2 linked regions of the Drosophila melanogaster genome follow. The protein of the gene in region 1 purifies or fractionates together with the protein of each later gene. This does not show direct contact. Each region holds a gene or a part of one and is shown on either strand. Other genes may lie near its edges. The genes, in order: jeb and Alk.

Evidence for each region.
Region 2: the proteins of jeb (region 1) and Alk purify together in Drosophila melanogaster (affinity purification with western blotting; 2 studies listed by BioGRID). This does not show direct contact.

Annotation. Positions count from the first base shown.
Region 1 is NT_033778.4:12,116,317-12,121,584, forward strand, and holds the start of jeb (jelly belly), read right to left. Parts: upstream 3,025-5,268; 5' UTR 1,745-3,024; coding exon 283-1,744; intron 1-282.
Region 2 is NT_033778.4:16,636,717-16,641,899, forward strand, and holds the start of Alk (anaplastic lymphoma kinase), read right to left. Parts: upstream 3,296-5,183; 5' UTR 3,030-3,295; intron 1,260-3,029; exon of another isoform or gene 932-1,259; intron 1-931.

The sequences.
Region 1 (5,268 bases):
AACCTGATTTGATGACCTAAAGAACTTGGCTGCAAACCAACTATTTCCTGCTTTTAATTTTGACTAACTATTTTAGAATTTCGAAAGTTCACTCTAATTAGATTTCATTGAGGTTTTATTTCTTGCGCTGGGTGCATGTTCGATTGGATCGAATTAATGCCAGACAGTCGGCTAAAGGTCAGCGTTGAAGTCGGCTAGGTTCCAACGATTCCTCCCCCATAGTCCACCATTGAAACCCCAGCTCAAGCCTCTATATAATGGGAATTTATAGGTATAACTCACCGATTTGTGGCACATCGTATTGCCGTTGACCGCGGGCGGTGCGCAGCATCAGCTGGCTGGCTATGCTGTGTGAAATCGGTGGCTGCGCTGAGTAACCGCCTCCTGGCGATCCCATGGATCCCGCCGATCCGGAACCGGATCGCTTATGGCTGGGATCCTTTTTGTCCTGCTGCGACTGTTGCTCCACCTGCTGCTGTTTAGGTAGTCCATCGCCGGCGGCTTGTTTGCCGGAGGAAGAAGTGGCGGAGGAGACGGCCGAGGATGCACTGCTACCTAGCTCGCTATGTGGCTTCTCGTTATCCTTGGAGCCGGAGCGAGTGGATGGTTTCAGGTGCTTGCTGGCCGTGGCCTCCGAGTTGGCGGACAGCGATAGTTTGCCATTGCGCTGTGGCTTGAAGTGCTGGGCGAAGATCTGGCGCTGCAGCTGCTTTTCCGCCTCAGGATTATGGGCAATGCCCTGGCCATTTCGTTTCCTCGCCCACTTTTGCTGCACCCTTATGTTGTAGTTGCCCGGGTTGTGGATTTTGCCGGTGTGCATCGCCTTGAAGGGGGCATCTCGCTGCTCCTGTTCCTGCTCGAAGAGCTGCTGCAGGGAGTCGGGTGCACCCAGCTCCAATTGCTCCAGCGTGCGATAGGGATTCTCCGGAAGGGTTTCGTCCTCCAGGCCGTGATATTGATAGGCATCCAGTTCACGCAGCAACTCATCCTCGCCCAAGTGCGGCTCCTGCGGTTCCTGCTCCAGTTCCGAGAAGTCATCAAAGTCGCCGAACGAGTGCAGCGGTTCGTAGAGAGCCTCCACCTGCTCCTCCCTCTCCGCTGGCTGCACCACTCTTCCGTAGTATTTAACGGGTCTATTCTCCAGATCCCTCAGCTGCTCATAATCCTGTTCCAGGGTAACCGGCGTCGGTGGTTGCTTCTGCACATTACCGAAGATGTAGCCCCGTGCGGCCTGCTGCAACAGCGCCGGATAGTCGCCCACTTCCAGCTCCTCGCTGGGCTGCATCTGTATCCGGCCGGCAATGAAGGGATGACCGCGATGATTACTGCCCGCCGGCGGCTGTTCCGCCGTCTGCTTGGCGCGGGCCAGGAGCATTAGTCGCTCTCGCTCCAGCTGGGCCATATCCGCTATCTCCTTGTTCAGCCGCACGGTGGTGGCATCGAAGGCGGCCGCTGCGGCGGACCGATGGCCATGCGGCGAGGATCCACCGCCGGGCGGAGATCCTCCGGGATGCTGTTGGTGCTGCTGCTGCTGCGAGGGTGCGGTCTGCCAGGCGGCGGCTACTCCCGTCGAGGGTCCAACGGGATGACTGGGCACCTGCACTGCCTTGGCTTCGCCCAGCGACTTCTCGCCGTTCCCATTCCCGTTCCCGTTGCCATTTCCGTTTCCGCTCAGATGGAGGGCATAGAGGCCGCCCTGTATGAGCAGGACGCAGAAGAGCGTCTGGGCCAGCGAGCAGAACATTTTCCGTTTGTTGGTCTGGCGCAGCTTCTCGATTAGACGGCTTATCTTGGCGGTTTCGGGTTTACCAGGGGGTTTACCAAGGGGAAAATACAGTTAGTTTGCTAGTCCGGGGGGATGGTGTTTGGGGGTGGGGGCGGGAGTTATAGAGACTGGTGGCAGGTGGTTTTTCGGGGCTGGTGGCGGTGAATGGTGGTGAGGGAAAGTCCCGATATCAATGTTTCTCTCTGGACTTTCGATGCTTTGCACACACGGCTTTTGTGGGTCTTCAGGCCCCACACCGCTGACCAACACTGTGCCGGCCTAAGCCTGGCATTGCACTACACTGGCCTGCACCGAACGAAGTTTTTTCGAAAATTTCGAACTTTTCCAAATTTGTGTGTGTGTGTTTTTTTTTTCTTTTTCAAACTTTTTGGCTATCGCGTTTTTGTGGATGCCTTGCAACGACCGTTGTTTATGGTTTCGTTATTTTTCGATATTATCTGTATATTTTTTCGGGCACTTAACTTGGCGTTCTTCTTTTCACTGGCCAGTCCACTCGATTTCGATTTAGACCTTAGGCTTATTAGTTAGTTTTTGTTCGCGGCACTTTGGTTTCTTGGGTATATAATTTTCTTGTGTTGTTATTCAGCTTTCGTTTGTGGTGTGAAAACTTTCCCTTGTTCTGGGTGAGTGATGTTTTAGTGGACTAGCTTTGCTACTAGTGTGTATATTTTTTTTTTTTTTTGTTATATTCTTTTTTATCGCCTGGCTCCAAGAGTGTTCCGCACGTTTGAACCGACGAGCAAGGACTCGTCGTGTCGTCTCAGCAGGATTTGCCTGTTTGTCTGCCTTTTGCTTGGCCGCCTGACGCGTGTCCCTCTGCCACTGCCTCTGCCTCGGTCGGCGTCGCGGTCGCTGTCGCTGCCCGCGTCGACGTCGCTGCCGCTCCTCAAGGCGTTTCGGATTTCCACTTTATGTGGCAGTCGTTGTCGTAGTCGCACTCGTACACCCACTCCCTGCACGCCCCGCCTCGAATTTCACTCCTCGGACGAACCGCTGGCTGCTGGGCTGGCTACTCTCCGCTCTCTCTCTCTCTGGCTCCTTTCTCCTTTCTCCTTGCTCTTTCTCCGTGCTCCTGGCTCCTGGCTCCTGGCTCCCTGCTCCTTTCGCCGCTTTCTCTGCTTTCTCCTGCTGCTCCTGCTGCTACTGCTACTGCTGCTTCTGGGCTTCCTCAGCTCCAGCTTGTGTGCTCTCGGTCAGCGGGAAAAACTCGAGCTCGAAACGACTGTTCGCTCTATACTGAGCACTGCGGCCGCTCAACCACTTGTTTTCAACCAGCCTCATGTGTAGAGTTTTTCCCGAAGCCTAACGGGATGAGAGAAAGTGAGAGAGAGTGCCTGCTACTGCGCACTGTGCACCGTTACCGGCATCATTGACTCCCTGTTTTCCATTTCCCAGATGCCATATGATTTGCGGTCGCCAGTTTGCGTGGGTTGTTCAACATCCGCATCGGAGTCCTTCGTTCCGGCGGGGCATTTCCCCAGTTCGACTCGAATTTGGGTAATCCCATTTAGCTGTCATCAGCTGTGGCTCCACTAATCCCAACAACAGCCGAGGATTCAATCACTGAATGCACTTTTCACTGGGCTTACCCGGAATCGCGTTGTGTTTTCTTGCCGGAAAAAATCAATTGTGGGAAAATTAAGTGATACCACAAATCTGGTTTCTCCCGAGCTAAGGTTTGTGATTTCATTAATGGGCAACTAATGGGATTTTCACTGAAATCACTTACCTAATGCATGTCGACCAACATTTTTGTAACCCTTTTGTAACAGAAGATGTTTGTATATAAGTTTCAAACATTTAACAACCTTTTTAACAACCACATTTTTAAGAAATCTTTCATTTTAATGTTCGTCATAATTACCGTAAAATATATTCCTAATTATTGAACAAATTAATACTGCAATACTTAAAGACGGTTAGTAGAAACCAAATAAACTAAATGAAGTCACGATATATAAATGCAGTTATAATAACTATAATAGATTCTGATCATAACAGCCAGTGCAAAAGATTTGGCAACAACTTATGTGCCATAACTTATGATAACTTAGTACATTTCCCGTGATATTTACAAGCCCCTTTCTTATGGAATATGCCGATCGACCGCCCAACGAACTAGCGGTACATTTCCCCTACATTTCAAAAGTCGAAAACGATTGACAACCACACTGGCGAGATACGTACATACATACCTACATGTACATATATCTACTGGCAAAATACAACTCACGCAGCAGCAGCGCCGAGGATATATTGTGAATAAAAATGAGCACATAGATTGCAAGTCATTAAAGCTGGCGAACCGAATACGAATCGGGAAAGGGGAGGACGCAGAGCCGAAGGACCCTTCGATTCGGGTGTAAGCCAACATGAATGAAGGAGAATGTCCTGTGGCAGAGGCGTCATCGTTGCTTGCAGCCCGCTTTTCGCTTTTCGTTTTTCGATTTTTGCCATTGTTCTTGCTGTTGCACACAACAAACAGCTGAAGGCTGGGGGCGGGGGTGGGGAGGCGTGGCAGACCGAGGACGAAGACGAGTCCTTTTGTCGTCACAATGTCTGTGGCTTTTACGTTTTACGAGCGAGCTATAATATATTCGCCGTGCCAACGTAATGATATCCGAGCCGAGGTGAAATTGAATCGCGAGCTTAAGCTACGTGAATGGACTTGTTCCACGGTGTGGAGAGTTTTGAATGGACGAAAAGGTGAATAGTCGCCATGTATAATCGAAAAAGTTTCGGAGTCGAGCGTAAAAAGAAGGTGAGAATACAACTGGAGAATACAGTCATTCATAGCAATATTTTATCAATCAAGTCTGAACATAGAAAATTAAGTTAATACAGTAAATTAATTATTTATTAAGAAAGGGCTATAAGATAAACTTAATGTACGCTTGTAAACTCCTACATGACTATATTTAGTATTTCACCATAATGTTTGCTTTACTGCTGTAATATAACTAAATTCGATATTATTTCGATCTCCAAGCCATATCTCTCTGTTTGAAAGTCTACATGCAAAAAGCCGGCTTGGCCTCTCAATTTGTTGCACGACCCGAAAGTCTCCGGCTCGTTTGGAAAACTCTACAGGCGACGGCAAACAGCTGAGCCTGGCCAGGACCTTTCGCCGCCCCCAATACGCCTGGCCCGCAACATGGTCCTACCACAAGCCAAATGCACTTGCTGGGACCACAGGCGAGCGAAGGATTCCTGGTGGGGGGACAACAACAGATGATTCTGCCGCTGGAGTGCGCAGGCGCAAACTGAAGAGGCGACGACTACGTCAACAACAAAAATCGAAGCGGCGGATTTTCATTCAGGAGATAGCACCAACCCACCCACGAAAGTTGGGGAAACAAGAGCGCGAGCCCTCGAGCAGCGATATGGAAATGGTAACATGGGTATGGGGCTTGGGAGTGGGGAAATTTCAAGGAGTAGGGGCATTTGGGGAAAATCAGCGCCTGGCTGGCGTCGTTTTTCGA
Region 2 (5,183 bases), 4.5 Mb from region 1:
AAATGTTGATTTCAATTCAAGTAAGGTTTATCTTATTTTGAAGCTAACTTTCTACTGCCAGGATACTATAATCGGTCCAAACTCATATCTAAAATAGATATAGCACTTAAAAAGTACTTAAAGGGTATTTCTTTAAGTTTGAAATATAACTATTATGTAAAGTTTATATAAGAGTTTTGAGAATCAAATCTATTTGTGCAGGAAACATTGGAAACAATCCATATTTATGTTATTTCAGTGTCTGTGCACATTGAGTTATTACCCGAAAACTAGTCAATTAATACAGATATTACTCGACATAATAAAAATGTTATTGTGTTCTTAACCGAAGTTTTCCAGAAATAATAAAAAGAAAATTAAACGGAAGCCACAATAATATAGTCCAAATTTCGAACTGAAGCAACAAAAGAGCGCTAGCACATGGACAGTATCCTTGGTCTGTATATCGTATTTTGCAGATACACACACATTGCCGCCATAGGAGCAGGACCAGCAACAACAACAACAACAACTACATTAGAAGGAGCGAGTGGGGGCTGCGTCAACGTCGCAAATATTGCGCTGCCCTCTGTGCCCGACTCCAATTTAGATGGCGATGGTGGCAAGGATTTGCCAGGATGCGAGACGCAGCCTCGGTATCGTTGACTGCGCAGGATACACACACACATAGGACACTCTTCGCTACTAATGGCGCAGACAAATTGTTTTGCGTATCTTACAGATACAGAGCAGCCGAGGCGCACAAAAGATACTACACAAAAAAACACACCACATACACGCACACACACACGCAAGCTTGGAAGTAACGAAATTTTTCCTGCAGCTCAACAAATTTTTCATTCGATTTTTCACTGCTCATCATTATTTCAAATTGAATGCAATGATTTCACATTTCAGTTTCGAATATGTAATCACTTTTACCATTACGCACTGATTTGTGGCTCAACCGAAATTTTCGTAAGCTCTGCTTCTCTTGAATTATGTATCTTTCGGGGAAAAATATGGTTTTTATTCGAAGAATATGAAGTTTTCAGCTACACTTTTCACGTTTCCTTTTCTTTTTCATTTGCTGCTGGTTGTGTTTGCTCTCTTTTGTAGTATTAACTTTTCTAGCACTGTTGTTGATGGTACTACATATATTGGTTTTCTTCAGATTTATCTTCTTTTTTTTTTGGGTATATCTTGTTGTTTTTTTTTGAGGCCGTCTATCCGCGATTCTGAGGGATACTTGCGCGCACGACGCTCGGCAAACGAAGACTGAAATGTGGGGAAATTCGTTAAAGCCCGGCCAGCATCCTAGGCATCGGCATCGGCATCGGCATCTCGCGTCGGTGGCTAAACGAATATCCTGCGCCTGAAATCGAGCCACAGGATACACGAGCGCACAGTTACAGATGCGTTTGGAAATTGAGGAAATTTCTTCTCCGACTCGCTGGATTTTCCACAGAGCTCACTCGTTCTCCACACATTTCAGCCAGCGAAAGCTGTTGCTGTTTCAGATTGCATGTGAAAGTGAGAAAAATGTGATGGAAACGGAAGGGGGAGGAAAGGGAGGCAGCGACAGTGGCGCACTCTGGCGGTCGGCATAAGCCGGGAAATTAATGCAAACTACTGGAAATTGAATTTAGCTCCATCAGCCGCTGCAGTGGCGAAACCCCCCTATTCCGATGGGGGGGGGGGGGGGGCGGGGTGCGATGGGCCTGCTTGTGCGTCAGTTTCAGTCGTAGCTGCGTTTCCTCTTTCAATTTGCAGTGCATTAAGGACCCCATTCTGCGCCTCCTGCGTCCTTTCGTCCGGCGATGTAATATCACCTAATCAGAGTCACGGATGCGACACAAATGCATTTATCTTGGTCCTTTTTCGCCCCTCGGAGATTGTGACGTGCTGGCTTATAAGCCGGACACTTGTAATTTAAGTAAGCCTGGTCTTAACGCAAGGTGCATTTGCCTCGCCACCAACAGGTGCCATTGGCCAGGTTTGCAAAGGCCCGACTTGCACTTCGCGGAAACCTAATTGAATTTTCTGCTTTTCAATGGTAATTTGTAAATGAAATCAAAAAAAATAAAATAATAAATGATACATGATGAAAGGTCAAATGGTTACTCGCTAAATATTGAAATGTGCACGAAGGGTTTTTGGGGTCGTTTAAAAACTTGTGTACACAATACTAGTGTACACAATCATAGATGTTTGAAATAAATCTGAATCAAATAATAAATGTTGCATAAACACTGATTAGTGTTTTCTAAACTGAAGTGTTATAAATATTTAAGTAGTAAGTACTAATTGCACAATGTTTTAGCATGCATTATAACATATAAATGTTCATAATTATCCCCAGCTAACTCTTTCCCACATTTCTAAGAAAATTCGATAATACAAAACCCTATTTTCTTTTGCAGAAATAATATTTTTATTTGGCATAAACAACATCAATTAATGACGACAACAAACGGAAATGGGCAACACAGACATAGAGCGACAAGTAAGCGAAAATTAATATAGAATCGCGCAGATAAGAGTACATGTGCAGATATATGTACGTACGTGCGATACTATATCTGTAGAACACGCTAATATATGCAAATATATTTATAAGTGTCGTCGGCAGCTGTAGGAAATCGCAGACAACAAAAAGCAATCGAAAGAAGAGAGAAGAAAAGCGGGCATGATCAGAAGAAAACTCAGCATCCACTTTGACGACTACGAGCGTGTTGAATTTTAAATTTAGTCCGAAAACGGCGGTAAAAAGTCTATATTGTGCCAAAGAATCAAGTAAATCAAATATAAACAACATCTAGCACAGTCGAGTAGACTTCCTTCTATCATTTATAAAAATATAATTGATATTTTTTGATGTTTTCCTCATTTTGGTAAAGCAAACGGGCCCGTAAAATGTTTAGGGATGCGTAAATTGGCACATAAAATATTCAGTATACGCAATTTGCATCTAGCAGATGCACTTCACTATAATATATACATATATATGTTTAAAAATAGTTTTTCGATATTTTAGGGGTAAAACTCACTCAATTTTTCGAAAGGGGAAAAGTGTGCCCGGCACGTGTCGCGGCTGAAGAAAGAGTTTATCCAACTATTTATATCACTTGGTCTTCAATTATATTCACTTAAAGCCGCGCACACGAGCGTGTATCTTGCGGATACCATTGATTTCGCTTTCAGTTTCTCGACTACGAGAACGAGAATCTATGGAATCGCGTAAATATCTGTGTAGTTCCTGTGGTGCTGCAACATCCGTTGGGCGACTGAGAGATGCGACTGTTCGATGAATACTGAATAACAGCAGGCGGCTGAGATCGGCCAGAAGCTAAAGACCGATGCGGAGGCGTCGACCGAAGAACTGGCTACCCGAACTGAGTCCATCTCATCTGGCGACTGCTGAACGAGATATATCTGCTGGTGCGTTCTTCGTGTTTATTTTTTTCTCACGGCTGCCGCATCCTTGGGTTCGTGTGTGTTTGTTTATTTGTTTTCGTCGCGACGTGTCAAGTGGTAATGCAATTGGAATTGACTTGTGCGTTTCACCAATCGCCGCGGGGATGTGGCGTCACGGCCTGGACATTGTGCAGCCTTTAGTCTGACCCCTGACCTCCGGCTGGCCTACCTGCTGTTGCTGCGACTGCTGCTGCTGCCGTTCGATGTGGCTAGTCCGATCAGCCGGAAGATTTATGTTATGTGCGCTGTGCCGCAAGGGGAGATATTTTTAGCCAGCACTGCGACTGTTTCTTTTCGCTTGGGGTAGCTGCGAAAGTAATTAATGATTCTGCGACTGAAGCTGCAATATCTGAGGCAAAACGGAAGTTCGCAAAAACGAAGCTCTGATGATCACAGTGGGACAAATCAGGCGATAATGGCACAAGTTAAAGCTGAAGGAGTTTATTTGTGTACTGGATAATGACTTTCGCTTTACATAGTTTTTAATTTCTTAGAAACATGTAAAATAATTCGTTTCTCAGAAAGAAAGTAGTTCTTGACGCGATCAAAAAATAAACTTATGAAAAATTAGTGCAAAATTGTTACCATCGTTTAATTCAATAAATAAAACACACAAGCCCAGGGAATATGTTTATTTTTAAGATATTGTATTGTATGAATTCCGTAATTCATTGTATTTTCTGTGCGGTCTGTGGTCTTTTTTTCAAGTGCCTCGAGGGTTGCCACCGCACACCGAAATACGAAGCCCTGGGCGGTCGACAGGAGGCGAACGGCGGTCCAAGGAGCGCATGTCAAGTGGTCCGATAGCCCAACTGTCAACTGTCATGGGGTAACTGTCATCCATTAGGCTTGGACATTGTTTATGTTTGGCGGCGCCTGCGCATCGGCGGGATAAACACGCGATGATGCAAACAAGTGGCTGTGGGCCACGTTGCGCTGGCCAGGATTACGGTGGTCTGGGTAGCTGGTGGCCACCACCGTCGAGGCGGATCGATGGCCGTGGGACATGCGCAGAGGCTGCGGACTCGAAAAAGGACTCCTCCTCAGAGGTAGACACGAATATTTTGGCCAGAACGCTTCTGTGCCTCGTGCAAAACGGTTCATTTCTCGTCCAGCAAAACGCTTCTGCTTTCTGTGTGGGTGTGTGTGAGTGTGCGTGTTGGCCGAATGCCTGAGTAGAGAAAAATCTAATTATTGTTAACGGCCCTCAGCTTCAGCACAGCACTTTGTTTTTTGCATTAAGAAATATTTACGGCCTGCGGCAAATCCAATTGCTCTTTTCTGGACATCAACTTTTGTGTGACTGCAAGGACGAGTGATTGTGCTCGGTGTTGCTTCTGTTGCCTTGGTTGTGTCACCAACATACACGCAAATAACACACAAGCACACATCATACACACACACACATACACACACAGCGCAATCCTTGGAGAAAAGTGAAAGTGAGACGCCCCAGCGACCCGGAAATCGGACAGCTTGGTATTTTTCGCATTTGGCGCACAACTTGGCTGGGAAAAAAAGTTAGTGGAAAACCCTCAGCTGCAAAAGTTTCAATCATTTTCCACACGTTAAACGAAATCCAATCAAATTTTACCCCCTCGCTCGACCTTCTCTTTTACTCTCTCTGATTTATGCGTGGCATATACAACATTTTCGTATTCCCTTCTTACATTTTTTGGCACACATTATACACAGCACAATTTTTTGGTATCCAAAAGCCCCGCGCC